5 linked regions of the Tribolium castaneum genome follow. The protein of the gene in region 2 interacts with the protein of the main gene of each other region in a pairwise test. Links are inferred from orthologs where the notes say so. Each region holds a gene or a part of one and is shown on either strand. Other genes may lie near its edges.

What was found.
Region 1: the proteins of Cdc5 (region 2) and beta-Spec interact in binary tests that used the Homo sapiens proteins (3 or more experiments, as listed by UniProt). The link is inferred for Tribolium castaneum from reciprocal best matches to the Homo sapiens genes CDC5L and SPTBN1.
Region 3: the proteins of Cdc5 (region 2) and Exo70 interact in a two-hybrid assay, tested with the Homo sapiens proteins (2 studies listed by BioGRID and IntAct). The link is inferred for Tribolium castaneum from reciprocal best matches to the Homo sapiens genes CDC5L and EXOC7.
Region 4: the proteins of Cdc5 (region 2) and fand interact in a two-hybrid assay, tested with the Homo sapiens proteins (2 studies listed by BioGRID and IntAct, with this or other methods). The link is inferred for Tribolium castaneum from reciprocal best matches to the Homo sapiens genes CDC5L and XAB2.
Region 5: the proteins of Cdc5 (region 2) and crn interact in a two-hybrid assay, tested with the Homo sapiens proteins (2 studies listed by IntAct). The link is inferred for Tribolium castaneum from reciprocal best matches to the Homo sapiens genes CDC5L and CRNKL1.

What each region holds. Positions count from the first base shown.
Region 1 is NC_087402.1:8,235,090-8,241,187, reverse strand, and holds the start of beta-Spec (spectrin beta chain), read left to right. Parts: upstream 1-1,988; 5' UTR 1,989-2,146; intron 2,147-6,098. Other genes in the region: transmembrane protein 184C, read right to left, coding at 1-63, 116-287, 337-436, 593-799, 853-927, 1,036-1,238, 1,294-1,330, 1,411-1,673. UniProt on the Homo sapiens protein: Fodrin, which seems to be involved in secretion, interacts with calmodulin in a calcium-dependent manner and is thus candidate for the calcium-dependent movement of the cytoskeleton at the membrane.
Region 2 is NC_087400.1:3,566,512-3,572,473, forward strand, and holds the start of Cdc5 (cell division cycle 5-like protein), read right to left. Parts: upstream 3,451-5,962; 5' UTR 3,246-3,450; coding exon 2,804-3,245; intron 2,660-2,803; coding exon 1,973-2,659; intron 1,183-1,972; coding exon 77-1,182; intron 29-76; coding exon 1-28. Other genes in the region: Yod1 (ubiquitin thioesterase Otu1), read left to right, coding at 3,819-4,508, 4,559-4,771; uncharacterized protein LOC103314450, read left to right, coding at 5,543-5,600.
Region 3 is NC_087399.1:7,105,215-7,111,500, reverse strand, and holds the start of Exo70 (exocyst complex component 7), read right to left. Parts: upstream 3,853-6,286; 5' UTR 3,694-3,852; intron 2,740-3,693; exon of another isoform or gene 2,052-2,739; coding exon of another isoform or gene 1,750-2,051; intron 1-1,749. Other genes in the region: stet (uncharacterized protein LOC657740), read left to right, coding at 1,750-2,051; 26S proteasome non-ATPase regulatory subunit 2, read left to right, coding at 4,120-4,164, 4,216-4,272, 4,323-4,996, 5,040-5,175, 5,325-6,286. UniProt on the Homo sapiens protein: Component of the exocyst complex involved in the docking of exocytic vesicles with fusion sites on the plasma membrane.
Region 4 is NC_087398.1:14,036,606-14,042,821, forward strand, and holds the start of fand (pre-mRNA-splicing factor syf1 homolog), read right to left. Parts: upstream 3,878-6,216; 5' UTR 3,757-3,877; coding exon 3,703-3,756; intron 3,654-3,702; coding exon 2,597-3,653; intron 1-2,596. Other genes in the region: nucleoporin Nup43, read right to left, coding at 4,096-4,454. UniProt on the Homo sapiens protein: Involved in pre-mRNA splicing as component of the spliceosome. Involved in transcription-coupled repair (TCR), transcription and pre-mRNA splicing.
Region 5 is NC_087400.1:94,985-101,157, forward strand, and holds crn (protein crooked neck), read right to left. Parts: upstream 4,104-6,173; 5' UTR 4,006-4,103; coding exon 3,967-4,005; intron 3,913-3,966; coding exon 1,936-3,912; 3' UTR 1,908-1,935; downstream 1-1,907. Other genes in the region: uncharacterized protein LOC661294, read right to left, coding at 236-376; protein OPI10 homolog, read left to right, coding at 1,056-1,091, 1,143-1,694; Nle (notchless), read right to left, coding at 4,310-5,722; protein FAM91A1, read left to right, coding at 6,026-6,097, 6,142-6,173. UniProt on the Homo sapiens protein: Involved in pre-mRNA splicing process. As a component of the minor spliceosome, involved in the splicing of U12-type introns in pre-mRNAs.

The sequences.
Region 1 (6,098 bases), on a different chromosome or scaffold from region 2:
CATTGTCCCCCCTTGGAATTGTGTACATGCTGCGCCCCCTAATCCTCCGACTTATCGAACTACCTGAAATATTTCCCCTGTATCTATTGAATTATTATTGGTCAAATCTACATACTGACAATCCCTAAATGTTCTTGGATATCCCTGTGGACATCTGAGACATCCCACATTGCAAGAAAAGCCTGACAACAGGACTGATTCAAGCCAGTTACTGCATACGGTTCATACGAAAAACTGTAATGATGTGCTATTGAGGCCATGCACATTTCAATGCAGATTAAAAAATCCTACAAACTTGTGTTCAACCCAAATTAAACTTAATACAGTAAGAATTACTTGCAACCGCGTTGATAAACTTAAGCCATCATCAGTTGAATCTTTGGAGTTTGGCGTAATTATATTTGTATACACTAGCATATCTATGAGCACACCTTGACTAGAAAACATTATTTTTAAGTAACTATTCTCCAGAAGACCTAAAGGAGGTGAAACGACAAAAAAAAGTCCGTATTTATTGCATTCTTGTTAAAAAAAACATAAAAACTATACGCCGTGTCACCTCCTAATATGGAGTAACTTAAAAACAACTTACAAAAAAGAGAAGAAAACAACAGCCTTAATGCACAAAAACTTTGGTAACGGTTTCATTGGTCTCAGTTCTGCTATGTTAGCTTTGTAAAACATGACCAAACAGTACATGGCCATAAACTGTGATATGTTGTTGACAGCTATCAGATATGGAAAAGCCACATTTCCTTTAAATTCGCCGTCACCATAAACCCCAGACACTTTACAGATGCTAACAAATTACACAATTAATAAAATTAAGTAAACACAGTTGAGTAAACATACAAAGAAATGGCAGTGGTTAGAGGCCTAACAACTGTATATTGGAGAATTCCGTGCTTGCAGATGTGAACGAATTCTCTATAAAATTGCATAAAGTTTATTTGACGTGACCTGTAGATTTGAAATTATGTTGGCAACAGCAGATTAGTTAATGCTGCCAACTTAATTTCGTACACATAGTATCACCTTCCCATTTCCCAGTCAGGTAAACAACATAGCGGAAAAATGTGTTTCACTTGAGGTTTCAACTCAAGACTTGCCTCAAGATCCATTTCCATGTTCAAATAATTCAGCAAAAATCTCATAAAGTTGTATATTACATAAGCTTCATAGCATTCTCTTAAACTGTCCACATAGACTGACTGCTTGGGATAAATAAGCCCCAACCACTGTAAGACATCATCACAGCCAAAACCTTAAATCTGGTTACAAGTCATAACTTACTGCATTGATGGCATAAATGGGAACCATCCACAATATCCTAAAGTACAATAATTGCGTCAATATCGAACCGAACTGATAAGCCGTCTATAAAACCAATCACATTTTTGATATTATTACCTGATGATATGTTTCTGTAACTTGGGCTGGGTGTAATGTATGACATGCTGAATGATTTCCCACAGAGACAAAGGAATAGCAACCCAAACGAAGATTCCAGCAATCAAAATTTCTTGGTCTCGCTTGTTAAACCCATCCTCCAAAGACTTCACTAAGAATAAAGGCACGAAAACAAGAGCTGCTAACGCGTAAATAATAATCACCAATGGTCTTATCCATAATCTCCAACGGGCCAAACAATTAAAACAAGTTTCGAACGGCATTTTCAAAAAACATTTTACATTTTTGACACTTTTTTGTTATGACAGATTTTTGACAATGGACTGGGCTGACATCTGACGGGCACTCGACGCAACGGCCACAGGGCCGGACTGTGCAATTTTTATTTTAGGGGGGAAAATGGCATTGTTTTGTATTGCAAATCTGGTTTTGACTATTTATAATTTACTACAACCCCACGTGGCCCTTCCCTGCCACAAAGGAAGTTACAATTAAGTAATCAAGCGAAATCAAGGGCATCCAACCTAGCGCCATCTATTCTCTACGCAACCAGCCTACTATGCGTTGGGCGTGTTGTTATCGTAATTATGCGCATGCGTAAACGAGTCTCGTTAATAGCCGTCATGAAGGGCGTTTGTGTTCGCGAGGTGGTGATTTTATAAAAATAACAGTTTTTTAACTTATGAATGTAAGTTTATCAGTGAGACCGACGATATTTAAGTAGTAACGATAACAGGTAAGTCATCGTTTTTTGCCGGTTGCTGCGGTTACCAATAATGTCGATAAATCTTAACCCAAGTCTCTTAAAATGGCCGAATAGGTGTAACCCAAACTTTACTAAACTGTTAAATAATTCAGTAGAACTGTATTGACTGGCTTTTTTCACTTTCAGTGATGATACCTTTATTCTGGTTGTTGAGCGAATTGGCCTTTTGTCGTTGATTCAAAGTTCAAAATGCATTTGTTGCTATGTCAGTGAACTTGGAGGTGGTTTACAAATGTAACCCAGTGCCGGGTTACTGCCCTTAAGGGACAGGTCAACTGTAATAATAGCCGCCCTACAAATTTATTAATTTTGTTAAATTTCAATATTATCTTTAGGTAATATTATGTAGCTTCTTTTGATCATACTTTTTCCAGGTCAAGAGTATGGTCATAATCCCAAAATAAATTGGTAAATGACTGAATGTCACATTATTTGATAAAGCTAATGATGGCCTATAAACTCTTGTGTCTTTCGGTGTCTATTAATATCTGTGATGCGTGCATGAGTCATATTTGTTGTAAATAGTATTAAATTTAAATTTTTACGTAATCATCAAGTTGTTACATAATAATAGTGCAAGTGTTTGTGTAGTAGGATTGTGTTCTTATCGCTACAACTCTTTCCTTTTAAACCTGCACATTTTTTAAACGTTTTATCACAGTTCAATAATAATGTTTGTGTAGTAACTGAGTAAATATGACTGTTCTAGTTTCCATAGTCTGACTGTTAGTTCAGACTGTGTTAATTAGCTGCCTTGTGTATAAAAATCACACATTTTTACTTCAATGAGACATGAAAAAAGACAAAGTTCACTTATTGCTCGTGCTTACGCATTTGCTTTTAATTTAATCTAACTAATGAGCGTTTAAAAACGTCATATTTCTGACAAAATTATGATCGCCTAATGATAGTCTTTAAAGACTTTAAAAGGACTTAGGTGTACTTGTACTTGTACTCTCTTGTATGCGTTTTACAAAAGATTGTAACATTGATTAGTTTAAATTTGAATTATGTTTTACTATATTATCAGTTTTTCGTATAATTTGGCATTGTCTTGTCAAATAACTTGCTGAATGATATAAACGTCATTCAATAATATTTGTCAGTTTGACAAACTGACTTTAAATTGAAATAACACTGTTAAAAAACACTGCTACCAAAAAAAAAATTGAAGTAGCTCTTGTTTTCGTAATTTAATCCAAACTTGAAATGCTTAATTCCATGATCTACCACAACACACCTGTTTTCTGATAGGATTACATATAATCATAAACAAATTGCGTCACACTTCCTTACCTAGCAAATATTGAAATATACATACAGGGTCAGTAAAATATATTGAACCATGCATTTTTTTAAATTCTTCGTGAGAGATAAATAATAATAGTATAATATCTGTTTCAAAACTAAAAACAACTGTCACTTTTCGCAATTGGTTTTCTCTTTAGATTCGTGAGTTTTCTTGGCATTAAATTTAACGCAGAATCACACGGAAGTACATCAGTTTAAATTTGTGATCTATTTGATCCTAAAAAATGTACATGCGTTGTTGCCACTTTTTCTACAGTTTTAAGTCAGATAGTAGTGTCCTCATGTTTTGAGAATGAAATATTGTTTTATTTTCAATGTCAACTTATCATGAACAGTTTTTACGACAAAAATGTTTTTATTAAAGATAATGTTATTTAAAAAATAGTTCAAAAACGCAAATTAGTTTTTAAGGCGACTACGTAATCAATATTTCATCAGTTAGCTTTTTTTCAAAAAATAAATAACTTAGGCAAACGAAACTTAGTTTTTTTGATTCACCTTATGGTAAAAATAGTACGTTTTACTTTAAAGACTGCTAAGTTGTAGCTAAGTAACAGCCAATCATATTGTGAAAACAACACTTCTTAATTATTTTACCTTTACTTATATAAAATTTTACTTAATTTTGAATTGGAGCCGTTTCTAAATCAATCAGCAGCTATGTAAAATTTAAGTAAACTACTGGCACTCCCAAAGAACATAATATTGTCTGTTTAGTTTAAAATCACTCAACGAAATAATTAACATTTATTACAGAATAGGTAAACCAATTGCTCATCTTCACATATATACACATAATTATTTGTAACATTACCAATTGGTCCAATTTAAAAAATAAGTCTTATTCAACTCTGTTCGTTGTTATTTTTAATAACTTTATTAAGGCAGAAAGAAGTTTTATTGGTGCTTACGTATTCCACAAGCACCCGATATTAATGATTACTTACAGGAAGCATTATGTATGTTTCCGCCGTTACTGCTTTTAGAGGGAAATTATTGATTTTAATGGAAGACGTGCCTTTAGAAGGTTACGCATTTTGTGTACAGAAATGTGAAACGAATATTTGTGCACAGACTTTTTGTTTTATAAGAACTGAATTAATGTAATTTCTATTTTAATTAATAAACTTCATCAATTACCACGATTTAAGTAATTTGCTAATTGGTGCTGTTATCACGCCAGTATGTTTTTAGGTCAAATAAATATTAATTTTGTCATGTTCTGACGTGGTGGTTACATTAATGTGTTAAATAAAAACTAATTTACATTTCGTCTTTTTTAGTTTAGTAGATGACTAGGAAATACTTCATGGGCAAACAGTTTTGTGACTTATAATTGAAATAACCTTCTTAATTTTCATTGTGCTGTAAGTTCGAAAATTATTTGCAAGGTTCCGCGATTTATTCTGAAATACTTGTACCATTTTTAATAATAAGCATGTGTTGTTTAAGATGATCTAATCCAGAAGCAATTTTAAATACATCTAATCCTAACCAGAAGCATTAATGTTATGTAAACAAATAAACTAACTTGTGGGTGGAACATGTACCGTAAACACAGTTGTCTGTAAGATTTTACGTGCATGGGTTTTTGATCGGTCTTATAACGGTTCAAATTCGTTGATGATAAATTTTTACCAAGCAAATATATCTTGTTTTACTACTTGGAATGGGGAATTTCTTGACAAAAAGTTACTATTTTCCGAACACAAATTGGCTCGAAAGTAGGTAATTTGTGTCAATATTGGTTTAATTAGTGTCTGGCGTCTCGTTTATGGAGCAACGTTGATGCTTAATTCAATTAGGTTATTAATTACTTACCTATTAAGGTATACATGTTTGAAGATGCCTCAACGTTACGTATCAGAGTTTTGTTTCAGTTTTTACGTACGATAAATTACGTACTAGCGTAATATTAGTGATGAATGGAAATGCTTGAATAGGGTGTGAGGATGGCGTGAATTTTTTATTACATTCAGGTATTACAGTTCGTTGAGCACTTTGCCCGCACATGCCGATTTTTGGTGTTTGAATGTACAGGCATCTGTTTTAATTTGTGCAAAGGCCAGGGTGTTAACCTTGATTAGAAAGTAGTGGCATGAATCCAATAGCTCTTATCTAATTAGTTGATTAAAATAGTAAAGTAGCCGTAATGGCTATTATTACTGTGGTAAAGGTCAAGCACCCTTCTATTTGTACCCACTGTGAGTATGTAATATTCGGTTTGATTGAAGGTAATTGGCATCGTCACTGGCTGGCAATGTTAACTATGTCATAGTGTTTGTTACATCATCGTGAATTATCTCGAGGTAATGTATTGCGAGAAAAATAGGTAATTGTACCACATCATTCACGTCCCCAAATGTGCGTTTTTTGTCATTTTAGGGCGCAAGAACCCATTCATTACTTGTAACTAAATATGAGTTACGTTCGTCATTTGTCAGGAAGTAGCCCAAATATGGCCTATTTGATGAAATCATCATTCACTTTTGTTTTATGGCGGTTTATCCTCGATTGTATTTTCTGTACATGTTTTCGTAACATATTCACTTATTTTTGTTACTGTAGTCATCTTATCAAACAATGGCAAATCAAATTAAATCTGGTGTTA
Region 2 (5,962 bases):
TTTGCCGGTTAACATCCTCGGTTAACGACTGGAACACAAATAATAACAAAAAAAAACAACAATTGTAAAAAAATACCTGTATGCGCCTCGGGAGCGCCGCCTTCTCCTGCTCTTGCAAAAACTTGAACGTATTCAACTCCAAATTCGCTTGATCGATCTGATCGTAATAATCGGCCAATTGTTTGATAAGGGCTTGCGCCCTCGATTGATAACCCCCTGTCAAAATCTTTAGTTTTTTCTCCATTTTTGCCGCCTTTTTCGCCTCGCGCGCCATATGTGAGCGGTTCTGTTCCAGTCTTTTTTCCGCCGATTCTAACCGCTCTTTTTTCGACACTAGATTAGCCCTCGTGTATTTGTTTAAATTTGGAACAAAAAGCACTTGTCCCAGACACTCCTCCCAAACTTGGGTGTATGCCTCCAAAGGTAATTCCCCATGGCCCATTCCATACTTTACAATTTCCATTTCACGTTTCAATAATTGTTTGGCAAGTTTTAAATCATCCGATTTGAAATCGTCATACGGGTGCTGTTCCAGGAATGCCAACTGCTGGGCCTGAGCCAAAGCCGAGCGCTTGACTTGGTTAGGGTTTTTCAAATTGTCAAATTGCAACATTGTCACCATCTCACACTTGATCAATTCCTCGGCTTTCTGCAGCTCGGTCAACGAATGCGACTCGTGATTCGGCCGCAAAACGGCCAAATTTACATCGTGGGGGCGCGGCAGCCCCCTTTGAATCACCTGCGACCGCAGGGCTAACTCCTGAGCCGCCCGAATTTTCGCTTCTTCAAGCGCTCGCGCATCAACATCTGCCTGATCTTCGACAATATTTGGCGTTTTTTCTTCTTCTTTTTCCTCTTCTTCCTGTTCGGGAACGACGATTTCGTAGTCGTTCTTCGGTGTCGGTAAACTACTTAAGCCTAGTCTTAGTTGTTCTTTTAAATTGTTTTGGAGCGAACGCTGTTCGGCTGGAGTTTGTGCCACCATTTCGGTGTTTTCCTCATTTATATTGAGTTTGTCACGAACTGAAGGCGTAAAACTGCCTTGGGGGCCCTGCGGTGTCATGAAACCGGGGGTTTGGGCCCCGAAAGGGGTCGCCAGGACCGTATTGGGAGTGGCTATGGTGAGGGCTTGTGGTAAAACGCCCGAAAAATCCGAGTTGTGAAGTGGCGTGTTTCGGCCCCCTTTTGAAAGAGATATACAAGGTGAGGCAAAGTTTGCAGTTTGGCGTTTTGCGACTAAACTATTAACTTTTTGGGAAAAGTTATTAGTGGATGGTACACTACTATAAAAATGGGACTTTTTTCAAAGTATAAAGTTTTTTAATTTTTTCGTTCGTTTTGAAGTTATGGTATTTTTTAGGTAGTAACCCACCTAGAAATTTTTTTATTGGTTATTAAGTTATTGAGACAAATAAAGTAATAAAAAGAAAGAACTACAAGTCATTTAATGTCAATTTCATTTTTTTATTTTTTATTTTTTTTACATATTATGAACAAGAAAATTGATATTTCATCCAATAAAGACAGATTTGGAATCTTCAAACAATTTTAAGTCACATAGGCATGCTCTTGGCAGGGTATTCAGTTATTGTGACTTAAATAGTTTTTTTATTGGTAGGTGACAAAGTAAAACTTTTAACTGTATCTCTATATTTAGCTCGTATTATAAGAAAAAAAAAATTTTTTTTTAATTTATTTGTACCTTTCTTAATTATTATTACGCACATTTTTAAAAATCAAGAACTTACAAAAGTTCTTAATTTCGGGATATTTTTGAGCAATATAGCGGGTGAGGCAAACTTTGCAATTTAGTATTTTTTGGCGAAACTATTCACTTTTTGAAAAAACAGATTGGTGGACGGTAAACTACTACAAAATTGCAATTTTTTTTCAAGAATAAAATTTTTCGATTTTTTCGCTCCTCTTCGAGTTACGTCATTATTTATTTATTTTTTTGTGATTTTTTTTTTACCTTTGAGTGGGGTATCCACATGCGTCAAAGCCATGACATTTTGCGCTTCTTGAAGTATCCGATCAGTTTGCGGTGCCGGAGTTCGGGGAGTCACCGCTGCCGCTTGTGGCGCCGCCACCGTATAATCATTGAACAACGTATCAGTCGACTCGATTCCACTCTCTGCTGCAACTTCACGTGCAACTTCACTCGCTTTACCCAACTTTACGACTTGTTGCAACTCCAGATCGCTAATTTGCGGCTCGGGAAGTACCAATTTCGAGCGTTTTTTCGCCGGTTCTTGATTCTGTAGCATCGCTTGTGGAATATCATTTTCTTTTCTTTGTTTTAATTTTTGTTTATCTTTGCGACGTTCGCGTTCTTCTTGTTCGCTTCGCAGTTCACCGTCGAGATGTTGTTGACGCATTTTGTGAAAATCGGGCGCCATTGGATCAACAATTTCGGTGGAAGTGTCGTAAAAACCAATCGCTGGACGTTTTTCGAAGGGGATTTCCTCATTGTAGTCAACACCGCGTTTTTTCTTACGACGCGAATTCACTTCGATGCCGGCAGCTCGAAGCTCGCGCCTTTTTTGCAGTGCTGCCAATCGACGCGCTTCTTCCAGCTGCTTTTCGCGCGCTTTTCGCTTCGCTTTTTTGCCCTGGGTGTTGGCAAGCCTGGCGCGCGCCTCGGACAACATCTCCAGCTCTGCAACGACAAACACGCGTGCCAACCTTTTTGCGTTATAGTATACTATACAGGGTGATTCTTTTGCGGTTTTGAAATTTTTATTGCATTTTTGAATTCGTGTTTTGAAACTGAGAAAAATGTACCCCATTTGTTAGCTCTTACCATCCTCGTCCATGTCTTTGGGGTCGGGCCTCGCAGGCTTGGTTTCCGGATTGGGGTCAATTTCCCCCGGTTTGAGCTTCCGGGGGTCGTCCGTGACATCCTCCCCTTCTTCCTTCTTCTGTGCCTGATCCAGGAGGTACTCGTAGCGCTCCAAACACTGAGCGGCCGTTCGCCCGATTATGGGGGCTATCGTGCGCCACTGAGTCGGCATTAACTTGGCCAAATGTAGCAACTTTTCGTCCTCTTCCCGCGACCATTCCGTTTTTTTAATACTGGGGTCCAACCATTCGAACCAACGCGCTTTACACTGTTTGGCCGATTTGCGGTGAAGGAGCGAGGCAATTCGAGACCACTGGTTTTTCCCATATTTCATTACCGCCGCTTTGAGGATCTCATCCTCGGTGTTGCGCCAAACGCCCCCCTTTATCATTATACGCGGCATTTTTGCACTCTTTAGTTAAAAACCTAACCTCACTTTTGACAAAAACTTAAATTTTATAACAATACCACTAAAAGCACGATAATGATGCTTGGGTCAACACTATTGAGTCACTAATTAGATAAGAAGTAATTATTTTGGGACACTAATGCAAAAAACGGCCCTTTTTAAACGGCTTGATTTTTGGTTATAAAAATGGCCGTCCTTGAGTTGGCATAACTGTTAGTCGAGAAAAAACAAAAATTGGGGATTAAAAATAATCAGAACCGTACTTAGAACGTATTAATCGTGACACGAGACTGATCTAAAACGTGATAATTTTTTCCTGTCTTGAAATAATTAAAAAAGTGTGGTTGGTATCTCGCGTCAGTCGGCGAAAGTCCCTAGCCCCCCCAAATCCCTGTGTTTATTTAACCCTTTTGAAATGTTATCTCGGTGATAAAGCGCCCAAGTGTTGCCCCCTTTCGCCCCAATCGTCTAAATTCGGGCCCCAAGCCCTTAATTTCGCCCTTAACCTCACTTCTCCTGTCACTTGTCACTCCCAACTGTCATTGTTATTAGCCCCCAGAGAGCACCATGTCGTTCGCTTTGCGCGTCAAAACCAAAACGGGGCAACAAGTGATCAAAAACCTAACACCTGAGCACACGATCAAAGATTTGAAGCGCCAGTTGTGCTCCATATCGCAGATCCCCGAGGACAGGCTCCATGTGTTGTCAGGGTTCCCCCCGAAGGCGTTCGCCTTGGGGGACGATGGTCTCGAGTTGAGTCGCAGTGGTCTCAAGTCGGGCGATACCCTGATTTTGGAGGAGAAGGCCCGGGAGACTGCGCCCCCCTTGCGGGGCCATATCAGTGAAAGTGTCGACTGTCCGGGGATTCTGATGAAGAAGGTGGTGCCGGCCGACAACTCGTGTCTTTTCAGTAGTGTTTACTTCGCCCTGAACGGGAAACTGGACGAGAGTGGCACGGCAGCCCCCTACATGAGACAAGTGATTGCCGAAACGGTGGCCAGCGACCCCGAGATGTTTTCCGAGGCGATTTTGGGGAAACCCAACCGTGAGTATTGCGCCTGGATCCAGGACGACAAGTCATGGGGGGGCGCCATCGAGTTGGCCATTCTCTCGAATCACTATGGGTTCGAAATTGCCGTCGTAGACACGATCAACGCTATTATCAACCGGTTCGGGGAAGACCAGCATTACACACTTCGAATTTTTCTAATGTTTGATGGTATACACTATGACCCCCTTTTTTTGGAATCGTCCGATGTAATTTCCTTACTCAGGGGGTTATCAAAAAATTATTTGATTCGTTTCAGGGGGCGAGTATTCAGACGATTTTTCCCACTGATGATGATAAGGTTTTACAAGAGGCGCAGGAATTAGCGCGCGAGGCGAAGTCGAGTCGACAATTCACTGATGTTAACAAATTTACGCTAAAATGCATGAATTGTAATATTTTCCTTAATGGACAATTGCAGGCAAGGGAGCATGCGCAAAGTACGGGACATACGAATTTCGGGGAAGTCTAGCACTGCCAGTGACCATTTTCTAGACTTGTTTTAGATTTTTTCAAGGGGATTAATTTATTAAGAATAAATAATAATTTGTACAAATGTGTTTTATTTCTATTTGTGCCCTTTTTATTCTCCGAACTACGTTTTTTTCTAAGCAATTTTTTTTGGTCCAAAAAATCCATCTCGTTTCGTCTCCTAACTCATAGTCCTCCGTAGTGCGAACCGAAAAAAAAACCGGTTATAGAAACCTGTAATAGGTTATCTAACAATTTAATTCCTGGACTGAATATCGCGAAACCGCTAATTAATTAATTATTAGCCTTAACAGAAAACCAGTTTGGTGGCACGACTTTATTGACGCGGTGCACCTTTAATAATTTTTGTCCTCTTATCTGATAAAAAGTGCCATCAAAAATCGATATTCTTTTATCACTATCACTTTTAAACAACGCATCTTCAAAATAACAATGAAATCGAAAGTAACAAACGTATAAAATTTATTGAGAGTTGTATTCTAACTCTACCGCATCGATAAATATGGGGGATTTCCGCACACCTGACTAATCAACCTTCACTTAAAATTCAGCTAATAAATGACTCATAATTCGTCAGGTTTTAAGTCGCTTCAGCGTGCCATCATCACCAATTCATTTCCAACAATAAACCATAACAAACCCAATTATCTGATACAAAAATAATCAGTTGTTATCTAAATCATGTGAGAAAGCACATTGTGTGGTGTCTGGACTGGACGACAATCGATTTCTTCGACTTTTTGTGGTCAAAATGGGTAAAAGTGAAGTGATTTGGGTTTTGTGCTGGGCGCTGGTACTCGCTGGGACAGGTAATTGACCTGACATATCAAAAAATCGTCTCATTACATTTCGTTCATTTTTAAATGAAACTCAAATTGGTGTTTTAACAATACAGTCAAACGTTATTTAGGTTTTTTTATTTTTAGAGTTGATATAATTTTGCAGTAATTAGCGGTACCAACCAAAAATTCGGTAAAAAAATGTACCTATTTGACGGCCATTTTTCTGGCGCTTTTAGCACTTAAACCAACTTAAAAAAAATTATCCCCCAATTTGGAAATTTACTAATCCTAATCCCCTGTTTACTAGCCTCAAATACTCCGATAAGGCATTTTTAAATAGTCCATTTATTATCACAGCTTATAAATAGCTAGCGCTTTGTTATTCTCAA
Region 3 (6,286 bases), on a different chromosome or scaffold from region 2:
ACTTAAATCTGATTTTGTCTTGTCCAAACTTCTTCTGCAGTCGTATTATTTACTGTTAGAGTAGGACTTCTATTTTTCAAATAACAAGCTGTATAGCTTCTGTCTAAAAACCTTAACTTAATTTTTCAACCAAAGTTGCATTCTTTGGAGGTGTATAATCAAGTGTTGTTTGAAGACGAATTCCGATTTTTTTCAAAAATTCCTTCATTGAAGAACTTACACATGTGCTAGAAATTTTATTTTACGATCTGTTTCAACTTCAACCATTTTCTTGCAATTCTCGATTTTTTCAAAAACTTTAGATTTATTCTTTAAAAAATACACAGATGTTTTTTTTTGTAAGGTCGTCAGTAAAAGTTAAAAAATAACGCTTTCTGCCAATTGAATTTATTTTCACTGGACCGCAAATATCACTATTCTAACCCATCGTTCTAACTTTTCTTTAGCCCTGTGCACTGATTTCTTATGAAACTTATTCTTATGTTGCATTCCCCTTAATATCTTCAAATTTCATATCATGAACCATTTTTACGAGCCTCTTCAAAACTTGACTGCTTTAATTTCAAAATTACTTTTATTTTAAGTTTTTTTGAGTGAAGTATATTTTTTTTACATAAGCCAATTTATATAACTCTCCATCTCTTGTTGTTGCAACTGCTATTAGTCTTCCTGTCTTCTTTTCTCGAATCTCACATCTTTGATTTTCAACAATTGTCTTCAATTTTCCCTAGTTATTTTCATGAAATTAAATTAAATTTCAAACCCGGAGCATAATCAACTTGGCGTTTCAATCCTCTTACCTTTAACATACAATAAAACTGAAGTCACTCCAATGTCTTGGATTTTAAATTTTGATGTTTCTTTGAAATTCCTCCTTAAAGAATAGCAATTTTTAGATTTTATGATCTTTCTTCTTGCTATTAAAACATGTTTCTTTAAATCCTGTTTTGTGTGATGAAATACCATTTTTATCAATAAAATCCTTGAATTTTTGATAATGCCACTTCATTACTTAAGCTGATTCTCTTCCTTCATTTTTTACATTTAGCAGCTTATAGTAGTAATCTCCCTTTCACTAAATCTGTAGCTAATTCTGTATTGTAGTTCTCTAGTGTCATAATTAATGGCTTAAAAAGTTCTGGTAGATTAAGAGCAACTAAAACACTATCCTTTATTTCACTGTCTATTGCCTTCAAGTGTTGGGCAATTTTCATTTCCTGATTTAAATAATCATTCATTCCCTTACTATCAGCGTCACGAATCAAAACTAATTTTTCTGTTAAAGTTGCCACTCTTGGGAAACCTTGATATTCATAAATTTTCTTCAGTCTATCCTAAACTTCTTTTTCAGTTTTCTATTCTCTAACTTCCGTAAATATATGTGACTTGACAAGAAACACAATTGCTGCCAAAGCCTTCTTCTCCAGCTTTTCATCCTTCTTTGTTCCATCCACAAAATCCATCAGTTCACAATTAATTAAATGAATTTCTACTGGATAGGTACTTCCAATCCATGTAGTTGCACTTTCGAAGTTTTTCGAAAAATGCAGGAACTCCTCAGTATCACTTTATGCACAAGTTTTGTTTGATAAATAACCAGTTGTACGCCTAATGTGTTGTAAAACTTTATTGTGTACAAAGAAAACGTTGCTACAATAAATTACAGGAGATCCTGATCCAAATTGTAACTTCTTTATTTTAGACACTACTATCACAACACCAAAATTCAACTGACAATTGTTATTTCAGCCTCCTGCGACGTGGGGTACGCCATCTATTCGCGGTATGCCGCCGAAGCGATGGGGCCGCCGGTGTCGTACGTGGCGCACCTGACGGGGGCCCTGGCGGGGCTCACCATCGGCCTGCTTGTCTTGAAGAATTTCGAGCAGAAGTTGCACGAGCAGCTGCTGTGGTGGGTGGCGCTGGGGGTGTACGCCGCCTGCACGATTTTCGCAATTCTTTTCAACGTCATGAACCCCACGGTGGAGGCGGTGGAGAATTTGGGGGACGGGGTCAACAGTCAGTATGTGTATAATAGGTTCGGGGTATAGCCCCCTTTGTATAGGTTACGGGAACTCTCGGAGATTTATTTATCAAAAGCACTGAAACGATATTATTGCCCACATAGCCATTCCAGACCCGTTTTACAATACTAATCCAAAAATAAATCTCGGAGAGGCCGCTCTGTATATAATTTTTTTTGTACATATTTATATTTATTTAATATTCTAGACCAAAGACTGAAATGAGTAAATTCGAATGATTTATTAAGGTTTCGTTGTGAGGAAATTATTGTCAAACAGCATTTATCAAGTTCCTAAAACGATTCAAAGCAGGAGTGAGCGCAAACCGACAATTCCATTATTCACTTGACAATAATTTCTGCTTTATTTCACTTTCAGTTCATTTTTTTCTGAGTGATATTATCAAACTAGTCATAAAATTATTTAAGTATAAGCCTACCAAAGAAAGTGCTAGTTAATTCTATTTACACAATAATGTATTCGAAGCCTTATAGGTAGACGATTTTTCAATGTATATCACAAAGAAATTGTATTTTTTTACACTCAGGTAGACCACTGTTCACTGATATATGTATTTGTAACGAAAAAAAAAAAAAATAGAACTGATGGGTATTTCTTTTATAATACCTTTATTCCATTTTTGTTTTGTTATTATTATCACACTGTTTTACAAAACGCCCAACTTCCAAAAATAGTAATAAATTATTCAATTGTGCGACGACTTTTACTGAACCCTTCCGAAGTTTTTATATACAGGATGTCCACCATGGGGATCTCAGTTATTGTAAGAGATACAAGTTTGGTGAAATTAGGGCTAAGTTGCGCATTTTTATGCTGAACAATTATGTGCAAGAAAATGTTGTCATTTTTAGTTTTTGAGCTATTGGAAGAAAACGGAAATTTGTCATTTCCGTTTCTATTTTTTCAAGCAAAAACCAAAAGTACTAGACGTTTTTAAGTAGGACCTTCTTCGGGAACTTTTTTACAAGGTCATCGTATTTTCCAAAGCGTTCTTGATGTCAGAGTTAAAAGTTGAGTGTTGTAACTCTGACATCAAGAACGCCTTGGAAAAGACGATGACAGATTTAGGTTTCTTGTAAAAAGTGCCTAAAGGATTTCCTACTTAAAAACATCTAGTTCTTTTAGTTTTTTTTCTTAAAAAAATAAAAACGAAAATTAGTAATTTTTTATTTTTCCCAATAATTCAAAAACCAAAAATGGCACACCAAATTTTCTTTCAGATACTTGTTCAGCATAACAACGTGCAACTTTGCCCTAATTTAACCGATCTCGTAACTCTTATCACAACTGAGATCCCCATAGTGGAGCTCGAAAAACGGACACCCTGTAGACGGACAACACAAGTGGGGATTTCTCAGGGAGGCACGTAAACATAGTAGAAGCATAAAAAAGTGAAAATTAGTTATAATAGTGATTTAATTCATTGGTTTGTTAATAAAAGCTGTCTTCTTTTAGTTAAAATTCAATTTTTATGACGTAATCATGTAATTGTAGGAGCAAAGTGGCCGTGGTAATTGCTATACTAGACGGCCCCGAGCTAATTGTTTACAAATAAAATTAAACAAACTCATAAACACATCAAAATGGGGACTTTACCCACATAAAAAATCTGGATTTTAAAAAGTTCTAAAGCGACATTCGGACTTACCGCCGTCCATTAATCGTAAAAACATCGGTAATTTGAGCAATTTCTTCAATTTCTGGACACCAACAAACACTAAATTGGGGCTATTTACCCAAAAGGGGCTTAAGACGCACTTATGAAACAAGCGGCAAAAACTAAATAAGGTTAGGGTACGTTACCAAACACTAACCTATTAGGCCAGAAGATGGCGCAAGCTTACGAATTAAAAAATATCTGCAAAAAAATTAAACCTTACGGCATAAATTAAGAAAAACAATCCGAATGACCTTTAGGACCGTCACAAGGCATATCAAACTTATCCATAATTTAATTTTCAATTTTTATTGAGCTTTTAGGCGGAAACGGAAACGCCAAAACGTCAAATTGAAATTTTTGCATGTCATTTGAAACGGTCGCTCCTTTTGCCCATTTTTGCAAAAATTCGCCGAAATGGCAGCTGCAGCAATCCGAAAACCGGTGATTCCCAAAGATGACGTAAGAAAATCCCCTATTTATTTAATACTTTAAACGGGGCCCAAATTTTAGTCGGACGATGATAAGGAATTACAAGTGGAGCTAAAGGGTCTCGTGGACCGAATTACGGTGAGTTTTTCCATCATCAAAATAATAAAAAACCACGTAAATATATACAGGGTGACGAATCGAAGCTAGTGAATGTGTCCCTCGACATGTTAAAGTACTTAATACGGACCTCAACCTCGTCCATGACGTCCGTCCCAAAGCCCCTCAAATACCTGGCCCCTTTTTACGGGGCCCTGCGCAACAAATGCGACTCGATGAAGGACCCCCTCCTGAAAAAAAATCTCTCCGATGTCGTCTCCGTCCTGTCCATGGGGGCTATCGACGGGAGCGTGAAACGCGACTTCGACTGTCTCAAGTACTGTCTCCAAGGCACGATGGAGAACATCGGCGATTGGGGGCATGAATACATCCGCCAGCTGGAGATCGAAATCGTCAAACAGTGGGTCATGTGCGAGAACAACTACAAGACTCTGAGCCCCCTTGTCAAGCAGATCATGAGGTTTAACTGCAGCCACCACGACGAGATACAAGGCTGCGACCTTTTAATGGAAATCAACCAGATGTACATGCTCTTCGATTACGTCACGAGGGAAAACTACAAGCCCATTTGCTTGTACCTAGCCTCCTGTGCAAAATATGTGGACGATCTCGAGAGCAAAAAAATACTGAAGCTTATTTCGCAGTTCTATTATCTTTTTCAGGAGCATTGTCGCTGTTTGGTCGTCGCGATTCAAATCAAAGACTCGGCTTTGATCGAGAAACTCTTCAATACGTGCACTGACAAGTAATCTAGTCGGCGTTTCAAACAATTTTTCACTCATTTTTAGGATCACACTGTATCAAATGGCCTTCATATGCGCCCGACACCTCTACCCAATCGAATTTAATCTCGACGATGACGACGTGAGGAGCATTCTCGAGAATAGTCACTTGAGCCACTATTTTTTAAGTTTTGCACGTGAGGTTAGTGACAATTTTTATTCATTTGGCTTAAATTTGCCATTTTCCGTCTTGTGATGTTGTATTTTGGGGTCAAAATGCGAAATTTCCGGAAGAAATTCAAATTTCCCGCCTTGTGTTTCGGCGCCAAATTCAAATTTTTCTCGCTTTAGCTTGATATAATGGAGCCGAAATCGCCCGAAGAGGTGTACAAAACCTGGCTTGAGCCCGTAACGCTGCGTCAGAGCGTCCTCGGCGAGAAACTGGACAGTGCCCGTCAAAATCTGGCCTCGTCCTTCGTCAACGGTTTCGTCAATGCTGGTTTTGGCACTGATAAACTTTTGACAACCGACGATGGCAATAAATGGATTTATCGAAACAAAGATGTTGGCATGTTAAGTGCCACTGCAGCTCTGGGTTTACTATACTTATGGGACGTAGATGGCGGTTTGACCCCAATTGATAAATATCTCTACACCAGTGATGATAATATCAAAGCTGGCGCGTTACTAGCCCTTGGTATTGTCAATTGTCGCATTCGAAACGACTGCGACCCGGCCCTTGCCCTACTGGGCGATTACGTGGGGAGTGGCAGTGAGGAGTTGCAAGTTGGGGCGGTGCTAGGCATCGGATTGGCGTACGCCGGGAGTGGGCGGAGCGACGTATTGAATCTCCTCCTACCGGTGATACAGAGCTCGAAATTGGTCAAAACTTTGGGCGTGGCGAGTCTTGCATGCGGTTTGATCAGTCTCGGGAGAAATAATAACGAATTATCGGACATCATCTTGACGAAAATGATTGAATCGAACGGATTGGACGTTCTGAAAAGTCCCTTCATGTTATTGGCTGGTTTGGGCGTGGCACTTGCATATTTCGGAACCAAGGATGCGATTGAGGTTCCGACGATTGTGGCGGATGTGTTTGAGGAGCCGTTTCGGACCATCTTCCAGACCATGCTACAAATGTGCGCTTACGCCGGAAGTGGGGATGTGTTAATAATCCAGGAATTGTTGCGATTGGTCGAGGAAAAGGTCGAAGTTCCCGAAACGACCGAAACGAAAGGTTCGAAAGATAAGAAAAAGAACGAATGGGATTATCATATGGGGAAAGCGATAGCTGTTTTGGCCGTGGCCGC
Region 4 (6,216 bases), on a different chromosome or scaffold from region 2:
AAAATATTTACAACCAAAAAGAACAGTGGGTTAAGTTAAACAGCAACAAAATTAAGAAAATTACAGCTGAAAATTTCAAAGGATGGAAACTAGTCGATACCTTGGATCTGTCTCAGAATGAAATAGAACAATGGCATGAGGATTATCTTGCAGATGCTGAATTTATCCGGGCTCTCAACCTTGCATATAACAAGATTACGTGTCTGGACGGTGATTTAGATAAAATTTTTAAAGCCAAAAAAGCCACTTATTTAAGTGGCAATCCGTTGAGTGAAGAGTGTAAAAGCAAAATTCGGGAATGGTCCGCAAGAAATCAAGACAAAGTCAGTTTGTGAATTCCAACAATAAATAAATAAAATCTTAAGTATTATGTATGTAATAGCTCCCAATAATGATTTTGCATTTTACTCCCTAAAATATTTGGTTTCAACGTTTAACGGCTTAGTTGCAAAAAAAGGCATTCTGTTAGTTGTTTTATTAGAGAAAACTTTTCAGTCTTTTAGCACAGTCTTCATAACATTTAATAAATTTATTATACTGTTTTTAGATTATTTAGTGTTAAAAACATCATTAAATTATAAATATACTTGTTGGGTAATATATTTTTCATAATCTACGCAAAAAACTTTAACTTTATATAAACTATTTTGGATCTATCTTTTTTCGTTTTGGAATTATTTTACATTTCGTTATAAAAAAAAACAATTTTTAAAAAATCACTGCAAAGTCGCCGATTAATATTTTCCGGTAAATTTGTAACAAAAATTTAGAATACCTGTGAGTGTGCCGAAAGGCAAAAAATTGAAAAAGTCATTTTTTTTCAAATGGAACACTGTATTTTTTTTCATGAATCCATAGCATTTTTGATATGCTTTTTAACGATATGGAATCTTCATAGCAATTTTAAAATATTTTTCGAAATTTTTCAAAAAAATTATTTTATTACAATAAAATTTGTTATCCTGTTAAGTTAAATGATTATTTATTTTTTGCTATGTACTAATGTGACTAATTATTACTTATTAGTAATTAGTAACTATTAGTAATCTAATTATTACTTGATACATAAATCAATTTGGCTCATCAAAAATTAATAATAAAATAAATAAAAAAAAAAAAAATTTTTTGAACACTAAAAAATATAAATATAAAAATTACTCAATTTGAGTGGTCCTTAAATTCCCATAAGAAGTGTGCCTAGTCCTTTGCTATACAATCCGCATATCATTAGAAAGCTTATGAAAAATGTTATCGTTAGTGTAAATAAATATTTGGTGTTCCATTTGACAAAAATGAGTTATTCAACTTTTTGCGTTTTGGCACACTCTGTATATAATCTATGTGCTTTAACTAAAAGTCGTCTATTTGCTAAAACTACAAGGTATTCTGAGTTTTTCTATTACAAATTTTTCGAAAATTATTCATAGGCGACTTCGCACTACTTCGCAGTGATTTTTCAAAAATTGGTACCGAAAAGTTGAATAATTCCGAAACAAAAAAAGATAGACTCATTATAGTTTATATAAAGTTACATTTTTTTGCGTAGCATCCAATTGTGCAAAAATATGTAGGATGTTTCATTTAAAAAAATGTAACTTTGGTTCACCACCCTGTATACAACACCGTGTGTACAATAAAATTATTTTTAGTTTGTGGACTTTAAGTCGATCTATCGGACAGTGAAAACAACATGGCAATATTTCAAATAATAAAAAATTTATAGACCGATTACGCACCCCAGAGCCACCCTGTATGAATTTTTTAAGATTGTTTTGTTTATAATTATAAGTCTAAAACAAAAGACGATAGCGGGATGCGGATTTTATCAATTTTATTTTCTCAAAAAAACGGATTTGAGAATGTGTCACTCGTTGTTTTCTAAAAACCTCTTCCAAATTGCACTACCCTGTACAGTAAAAATATACTTGTTAGAATCCAGTTTTATCAAAATAAGCTGAAAAATCACTGTAGTAGCCAAAATTAAATTATTCTCTTCTTAAATCAACTAAGTTGAAAAGTCTTTTTTTTTTTAAATTCAATCCATTTTGGGGTGGATTTTACAATCGTGAAATAAACTCCGGATATGGTATTTTTGGTATAATTACTATGGTCACAATTGTTACAACAATGTATTTTTTAAAATTTCTCCCCAGGATAAAGTTAGCCGACGATTATCCACCCTTAGAATGTTTTTTAATTTTTTATTAATTAGAAGTGGGGAAGACCCAAAACTTTTTTTTCTACATTTGGACTACTGAAGTGATTCTCTACAATGCTATAAACTCGGAATTCGCCATTTTTGAGACGCCCTGTATGTATTTGAAGAGTCCGTATAGGTTTTTTTTACAATAAAACAGGCAGTAGATAAATAATGGTAGATGAGCAAGTGCCCGATATATATGCAAGTTTTAAACTGCTTACAATTGCATGTGACATCGACGATCTTCGATTCATAAAAATTGAGAAAAATACAATTAAATTTCTATTACTTTCAAAGACAAGTGACCATAAATCGTACAACTTTTACAAGGTAAAATTTCCGATATTTTAGTAATAAATACGAGTAAAATTGTATGATATTAATTTACAAACGTACCTTCATACAGCTGCACTCGCTTGTGCCACTCCTGCACATTATGCGGATTCTGCCTCAAGAGAACCGAATTCAACAGCAACAGCCTCCTCTCCATCAAATTCTCAAACCTCGCCAGCCTCAACTCCAACTCAATATCATCATCTTCAGTCTGATTGGGCTTTTGCGCCACCTCCTCCATCCGTTTACTCAACGTCAACTCCTCAAACTGTGCATAGGCGTCAAAGACTTGCGTAAAATCCCGCACAGTTGTAACCGTCTGAATCGCCTCCTCGTAAATATCCCGCGCCCGTTCAAACAACCCGCTCCTGACATAATACGTAGCCAGAGAGTTCCACAAATGCCCCAACTGATCAGTGTACCGCCTCAAGCCGCCCCTGATAATCGCATCAACATTCAACGAATGCACCTCTTCGGGATTTTTCGAAATCAACTCGCACAACTCGTTCCAGAGCTGGTGTTTGGACTTCCCGTGCTGTGACACGAAATTCTCATCATTGACAATCTTAGCCAACACAACGGCGGCTTCGTCCAAACGCCCAACTTCGGTCAAATACTCAACGTATTCCTCCGCATTCTCCGGACTGAGCTTCAAATACCGGCGAAAAATGCGCACAGCGGTCTCGGAAATGTCGTGCTTTTTGACGAATGTGAGGTAAAGGGGCCAAATCCGGTGGTGTTGGGTCACCGGGAGCGCCCTCAAAGCCCGGTCGAAAACCTTCCGAGTCCGCGTTATCTTGCACTGATCGGTCAGGAAACTGCAATAATCCATCCAAATTCGCGGCATTTTGTGCATGAAAACAAGGGAGCGCTCAAAAGCGTTGTTGACTTCCTCGAATGCGGGGTCTGTGATGCAGCGGTTTTTCACCTGGAGGCGGCGAGTGCGTAAGTAGTTGTACCAAAGTTTGTAAGAGCCGGGGAGCTCTTTAAGGGCCCGCTCGTAAATTATGTTAACGCCGTGCTTCGGGGCCTTCTTCTTGTGCTCAATGTAGCGCAGCCAGTGCTTCACAGAGTAGGGGTTGCGGAGGATCTCTTCTTCGTAAGGGAGGTCTTCGTCTGTCTGGAATTTTCGCAGTTATTTTGGACTAATTTTGAAACGGGATACGTACAAATATAATTTCCATGGGGGTTTCTTTACGAACAACATCGCTAGAGACAGGCATTGCGGCGCTTTGAACGAAAATATAACGTTGAGAAATGTTAGGTTAAGTAGATGAGGTTAGTTATTATTGTCGGTCAAAAGCGAATTCCAACAAATGCGAAATTAAAAATATACAAAATGTGAAATTGTGGTGTTTTTTAACAAGTGGTAGTATATATTGCTCTTATTTCTAAGTTTTAACCTAAAACACCTTAGTAAAATGCTGATGATATGATCAACAAAGATATAATACAGTAGAGTCTGGTTATAACGAACCCATTATAACGACCTCCAGCTATCACGTATATGCCAACAACCAAATAGTGGTTCAACTTTTTATTAGAAACTTTGTACAAAACAATTACTTAAAAACATTAACTCCATTGATTAAATAAACCGCCTCGTTATCGCACCCACAAAGAACCTTATTTCTGTTAACATCCAGACTATTGATTGGTTTGTGCAATTTAGGCATGAGCGTAAAAACATCCAACTTATTTTTGATAGCCTCGGATGCCAACCAAACATTCTCCCCATTCAGCAAACTAGAGGCACTGCCACATTTAGGCGACCAATGCCAAACATCCCCATCAGTGGAACAAGTGAATAGCTGGTCAGGATGATCTGGATGGAAGTGTATTTCCATAACGCCTCCCTCATGAGCATCCAACACATTCACAGGATATGTGTTTTGGCGCAAATCCCATATCGTTATCGAACCTGAAACGGAGTAAATAACATATTTCGAATTCTGATCAGAGTGGTCTATGACTAAAATTGAAGGCAGTGGCAACTTATAAAATGTGCTCAAAAAACTTCGTTCATCAAGTCACATATGAAATTTGAACGTAATGTGCCGCTTAATTTAAATTTAAAATAGTTAACTTGATGAACCACCATTTTTGAACACATTGTATTTTACCTAATTTATCTTTTAACGGAAATTGGAACTATAGAGACTTTTTTCAAAATTTTCTGCAGCAAAAAATAAGTGAAGCCTTAACGTCACAACCGCCTCTCATCACAGAAACCTTTTATTAATCACATATTTTTCACATATCTTCTACAAAATCAAAAAAATAACTACTTTCCAAACTCCTACCTGTTCTAAATTTTGTCTTGCACTTTGCGAAAATATCTCAGAAATTGTGTCTTCATTTCGATATTCTTTGGCAGTGATCAAAAACTATTTGATCTTAAAATTGGACCAAATAATGCTCGAGAGACGGTTATGACGTCATAATCCCAAATTTATATCGAAATAACTTGAAGTAGGATCGTTTCATAAATCATTTTAAAGTAACTTAAACTTTTAAAAGTGACTTCAATTTTTAAAATGCGTTTCAACCTAAAAATTTTCGTAAAATATTTCGTCAAATAATGATTAGGTAAAGACGTAAAGACGGCGGCAAATTACAAAAGCAACTTTAACAAACGTTAAATTTGTCAGTTTTTTGAATTGCACAAAATTAAGAAAGTGTTCATTTTTTCTTCTAATTCATTATCTTCTTCCGAACTGCGAAGACAAAAAATTTATAGAAAAAGAAAAATTATTTTGAAATTGTTAGTGATGTAAATTTCTTCGATCAGTTTCGTTTAACCAAGCCAACCATTTACGCTCGTTTGAAAAATGTTGAATAGATTACGTTCTAACAAGTAAAAGTCTCAAAATTGACGCCTGTGCTATGGCAGTTTGATTTAGGGTATTAATACAAATCGAAAGTTAAGAGTAAAAAATTTTCCAATTGTTCGTTTTAGAGTTATTGATAAAAATGTAAATAATAAGCTTTAGCTGTCTTTCCAATTATTTGTGCAACATAATTGATTAGTTGATGTTAGCGATATTAAAATTCTTTGAATAACTGTGTCTAGTAAAGAGTATTATTAATTTCCTTCGTTTTTGTATGTGTTAAATGATAAGATACCACTTTATTAGTGTATTCGAAATTTTGACGATATGTTAAAAGCTCGGTTATAAGTAAGATGTTTGTATGATGGCAATGCCACTGCTGAGACTAGGGCCTACACGGAAAAGTTTCCAAATCGCATTATAGCATACTTTGTGACAACAAATTTGGTAAATTCGCTTTTAATAAAATTTAATGTACAAATTTTAAATTTTAGATACTTATCAATAACTCGATAACGAAGGACAATTGGACAATTTTTCACTCTTAACTTTCGATTTGTTTTAGTCTTCTGAAGCAAATCCTAAAAGCATGGGCGTCAATTTTGAGTATATATAGGGTATATACTTATAGTTCTCACATTACTTGCTATGTCAACCGCAAACCAACAAAAACTTACCCCACAATTGCAGTTATTATTTTGATCATTGTTGTTTACAAGAAGGAATCCTAAAAGATAATGAGCCTCTTGCAGGTACTAAGAAGATGCCCAAAATAATTGATGCGGTTTTGTGGAAGTTTTCATTGGTTTATGGTATAGACATAGCCAGTTACGCAGAACTATACACAACATC
Region 5 (6,173 bases), about 3.5 Mb from region 2:
CGTGGTGCAATGCAGGATCGGGACAAAAAGAGACTGCGCTCAACCTCTCGTTTATTTATTATTTCAAGAAGAAAATGCATCCGGAACCACTCACTGTACTCTGCTGAGCAAAATCGATAGCGGGCGGACCGCAGACTAAACAATTAATTTCTTGATTTACATCGCGATTTGGGCGTGACCGCCGTCGTTAATTAAATTATTATTATAAGAGCATGACGATTTATTTTTTATTTACCTGATGATGACAGTCACTGGAAGAAAAATTCGATAGAAGAGGTGTCGCCAGCTGTTGTACGCGTTGAGCTTTACGTCTCAAACCGCGCACTTCCGCCAGCAAAGCCTCATATTGCGACACCGGCAAAGACATCACGAACATCCATCTGAAACCAAAAAATAAATCAAACTAATCATTTTTTTCCTGCAAAAATTCAACCAAGCAAGAAACCGCCGCATCAAGTCAGCCTTGAAGATATATTGATTTTTCGAAGGTGTGGTGCCACCCCCAAAAAATAACAATAAAAGCGTGAACTACACACTTACGAAATGGTGCAGGGACCCAACACGGACCCATTCTAATTCAAATTTAAGCATTTTTTGCAACTTTTTACTACTTTTATTGTCACTCGGTAGAAACAAAACACGATCATTTTAAAAGTACCAACTGAATGAAAACCGATTCAAATAAATTTGTTACGTACCGTGTTTGATGAAAATTAAATCCCAAAAGAACTGACGGAGTTTTTAATCCAAAAAAACACTTTTTTCACATACAATTGCACTCCCGTCGTGACATGTTTGACGTTTCTAACAGTTGGTGACCATGTTGGTCACTATGATCTAGTGATTTTTTTTAAGAAATAAATGTTTTAATTAATTTAATGCCAGTCCTTGTTCTTGTCCGAAGTGAAACCCATCAAGCTTTTTTGATGAAATTTCGCTATAATTTGCTAAATCAAACAGAAACGTTATTAAATTTGGTGACTTATTTTTTAGGGATTTTGTGGTTGTGGCGTCCCTAACCTAACAAATTTGAGAAATGTTCTAGAAGCTTCGTGATGGCAATGTTCGGTTTGATAGTATCAGGGCGTCCGGTGGGCCCCACCATTCCCAAGACATCACATATTTTATTGAATTAATTGCAGGTCCAAACCGAATTCCAGCCGATTTCCGAGACACAATTCATAACCACAATCCCAGAAGCCGACAGTATAAACCACATCGTGGTGTTCCTAACAGGGGCTATACCGTTCCCCGAAGGCACCGCCGGTCAAGTCTACTTCAGTTGGCCTGACCCACACGCGCCCCCCAACTGGCAGCCCCTCGGCCACATTTCCAACATAAAACCGTCGGCAATTTTCAAAATCTCATCACTGAAAAAACTCGAAGAGATGGGCGACTCGATGAATATTTTATTCGGGCAAAGTCACATCGTACACAATGCGCAAATAGGGATCGCTATTGAGCCGCTGGCGAATATTCGGGAAATCGAATCGGCGAATAATCCCAGTAATAATGTCACGTTTGCTCAGAAAATGTTGGAGAATTTTATGAATTTTGTGCTGAGTTATACGGTGACGCAACCGCAAATGGTCCCAGATCCCACGGCCACGTACGTTCCGTTGGCTACAGTACAGAACTGGTACACGAATTTTGAACGACGGTTGCAACAAAACCCCAATTTTTGGAAAACGTAGAGGAATGTGTGCATACGTGTGTCTTGTGTTCATCAAAGCTGGATTATGGCGGCTGTTAAGTCTCAAAACTCACTCGCTTTTAATGTATTTAAATGAATAAAGTATCGATTTTTTTATTATCTTATCATTTGCCCACAAAAAATTAATTGTTGCAGTGCAAAATCGTTGACCAGATAGCGCTTGGATAAGTGACAAAAGGGGAATAAAACAAAATTTAAACCTTAATTCTATTTTCTCAAAATCACGGTTCCGGTTCTTCCGTTTGCTTCTGCTTCTTCCAGCTTTTGGCAGCTGCCAATAACTTCAAATTGGGTTTACTGGCCTCATCCTCAGGGAATATATAATCAAAGATCTCCTCCCATCCTTGCTCAACACCATCCTCATCAATAACCTTCCTTCTCTTCTTAATCCTCCTTGGCATTTTCCCTTCAACTTTCTCCTTCGTCTCCTCGCTCCCATTTGCACTTTCAAACTCCTTCCAATTCTCCAATAACAAAACCCTCGCCTCCTTCTCCCCATAACTCTTCAAACTCTCATTAGCCCGCTCATAAACACGCCTTGCCAAACTAATATTCATATCCGACTCACAACTCAACTCAAACTTCGCATACGACAACCAAACTTTCACATGACTTGTCCTCTCCAACAATCTTTCGTACAATTGTCGGGCATTAGCCCACTCTTCTTGCCCGATCTCAAAATCGATATAGGCCTTCCAGAGCAGCTCAGGCATGTCTAGCCTTGGCTGAGCGATTGCCAACTCATAAATGGCCCTAGCACGCTCAAAATCCCCCAAAAGTGTCTCCAACTCGGCAAATTTCATCCAAGTCACACAATTTTCCGGACCAAACTCTAGATATTTCCCGTACAAAATACGACACCGGTCAAACTCACGCAACTGTATCTCTATATCAATATACCCACGGAACAATTTATCACGTGGGCATTTACCAATGGCAGTCCCCAAAATTTTACGAGCACCAATCAGATTCTTCCGCCTGATTTCAAACTGTGCAAACAACAACCAAATTTTACTAAACGTGAATAACTTATGGGGGATCAAGTCAAGGCAAGCTTTATAAACCTGACGTGTTCTTTCATAATCAACCGCTTCGATTTCCTCAAACAGGGCGTAATTAATCCACAAGTAAATATAACGCCTCCAGTATTGTTTATTTTTCGTTGGTGGCACGTTGGCTATGGCCCGCTCATACGTCTCACGTGACGTCTCAAGGTCCCCTTCCCCCTCCACCAGTCTCAAATAGTCAAACCAAGCGTCGTAATTGGTCGGATTTTCGAGTATCTCTTGTTCGTATTGAAACTTACGTTTCGAAACAATCACATCTTCAATACCGGAACGATCGCCGTACTTTTTCTCATGTATGGTGTAGGCTTTGTACAGCTCTTTCGCTTGTTCTTTGGGGAGATGGTCCAAGGCATACTTGTAGATAACGCGAGCACGGTCATGTTCTTTTTGGTTTTCTTCAAACCGTGCAAATGCAATATACAATTTTTCGTCCAAATGGTCATCACCGTAAAAATGTACAGCTCGTTCGTAAATCAAGCGGGCCGAGTTGATAAAACCGTGATTTTCTTCAAATCGGGCGTATTTAATCCAGTGTTTGACTTCGGGATGTGTTATAACAAAGCGTTCGTAGATTTCTCGCGCACGGTCGATTTCTTTGTATCTTAACTCAAAATTGATGTACGTTTGCCAGGCTTGTTCCTCCGGCTGCCACTCCATCCAGCGTTCAAAGACAGCTCTGGCCCCAGCCACATTCTCCAACATCTCCTCCATGTAGGTGTATTTGTACCAAAACTGGTTGATTCTGGGCAAAATCGTGACGGCTCTGTCCCATAAATTTCTAGCATGGTTCACTTGACGGTTTCGCATCTCCATTTCAGTGTATTTTAACCAAATGGTAACGTTACGATGGTCCACATCCAAGGCACGTTCAAATATCGAACGAGCTCGTTGGATTTCCTTTTGCGATTCTTCCCAATGGGCATATTTAATCCAATTGGAGATAACAGTTCGATTTTTTCGTATGTTGTCTTCGAATTGTTTACGGCGTCTGAGTTGGTAGTCGGCAAGTTCAGCTGGATCGGAGATTTTTTGCTTAGGGGGCGGAGGGAGAATCTCAAGGTCGCGCTCTTTTGCCTCGCGAAGGAGCTGCTCGGCTGTGATTTGGATCTCAGCAGGGGCTTTATTTTTCACCTGGAAAATTATTTTAGTTAGTTATTAAGTTGAAAGAGAAGGTAAATAACGTACCTTGGCCACTTTGGGCATCTTTTGCGGCTTGGTTTCCATCTCAGGGGCGACTTTTACCAACTTGTAGCACAACAAACAAACACGAACATAACCTTACGATTTTTTGTGGTTATGTTTGGACCACACAAATTGTGAAATATCGTGCCTTAAATTTTGATCGAGTGTTTGTTTGTTGTAATATAGATTAAACAATAATTTACGTAAGTAATTAAACTCCGCAAGCCAGTTTTTGTATTATTGGATTTGTAGATTTGCACTGGTGACGCCACATGTCGCGCACAATTACAGTTTTCTGTTTTTTTTTTAAATAAAATTCGAGAAAAATTACAAAATTTTATTGCATTTAATTTTGCCACAACTTTAAGACTTTGTCTTTACCCCCCGAGGCCACTTTGGAGCCATCTGAGGCCCAATCAAGCGCATAGACCTCATCCCCATGACCTGGCAGATCAATTTCCAATTTCTTCTCCCTCAAATTCCACAATTTGAGTGTTGAATCGGCACTTCCACTCACTAAAAGTCTAGAATCGGCCGAAAACGAAATCACATAAACAGCCTGTACGTGCCCCCTTAACGTACAAATAAATTTACCACTTTTGGCCTCCCATAATTTAATACTCTTATCAAACGAAGCCGAGGCAAAAATGCGACCATCTGGTGAAAATTTCACATCGTTAACTAATTGTTGGTGCCCCGTGAGCCGATTTAACGGCTTCTTGTCTTTTGAGGGGGCCCACAAAAACAAAGTGAAATCATCGGAGCCCGAGACGAGTCTTTCATCACCGATAGGGTTAACGATTTCGTTGTAACGACGCAGGACGAAGTCTTGTGATTGGATTTGGGTGTCTTTGACTGGGTCAAACGCCCCCAATTTGAGGATATAATCAGTGTTGAGGGCCAAAGTGTTGACCCAATGACCGTGCCCTTCTAACGTACGACACAACACACCGTCTTTAGCCCTCCAAACTTTAACAGTCCGGTCCTGCGAAGCCGTATAAAGGAGCCCCAGACCGCCCCACTTGACCACAGTCACACTTTTCAAATGCCCAGAAATAACCCTAGTACAAGAACACAGGACCGTATCCCAAATCCTGACGTCACAATCTTTACTCGCCGAGGCTAGAAAGCGACACTCGGCGTTTTGGTGGTAGGGTTCCCAACTCAGGGCCGTGACCCATGATTTATGCCCAATTAGAGTTTTACCAATCTGGGCCCCATTTTCGGGGTTCCATACCACCACCTTGCCGTCTTTACACGCCGAAGCTAGTTTACGCCCATTGGGGGCCCACGCAATGCACAACACCCAGTTCGTGTGCCCTTTACATGTCTTAAAAGGTGTCTGGGTGTCCACGTCCCAGAACCGAACGGTTGTATCGCCAGAACCACTCGCTAGGTGTCTACCATCGGGGGAAAAACTCACGGAAATGACAGCTTCGGCATGGCCTGGCATTGAACTTGTACATCTTGTCACGGGACGCACTCGGAACACGGCTTGTTGCTGGTAGAGGATGTCGATGACGGTTTCGGTGTTCAAGTCCGACAAGTTTAAGGTTTTTTCGAGCGAATGTGTGATTTCGGTGTCGTTGGCGTAAAAAATGTACGAATTTGTGGTTTCGAGGAGAGCATTGCAAATTTCAGTCAACTGGGACACAGTACAAGACAAGGGCAAGTCGATGATGTCGCCGGTGATTTCGCCTGAATCGGACTTGAAGCGACACAGGACGTGTTTTTGGGACAATTCGCCCCCCAATTCCATGATTATTAGCACTTTTTACAAACTGGTCCAACCCCACTTTTTGCACATGCCAGTGTCAAAAAGTGTGTGGTTAGAGACACTTGTTGGTAGCCCTGCCAGCTCACACTTTTTCTTGATTAAACAACGCAAAAAAATTAATTAAGCAGCATTACATTAATTTATTTAAAAAAAAAACACGCTTTCTTGCCCAATTCATGCCAAAATCGCGTAAAAACAGCAAAACTGTGCAATTGTGACACCTGTCATTACTGACTGTCACTTGTCAAATGGGTTTATCAACAACAAATTAACCCATTTACCAGCATGAATGCCGAAATCGAGGAAAATATCCGTAAAAACGTGCCATGGTCTCAACTCCCCGCACATATCAAACAGGTAGTTTGGTTTTTAGTTGCGACAAATGACCCCCCGTTTTCCAGATTTTAAACAATTCGGTCAAAGACTACGAACG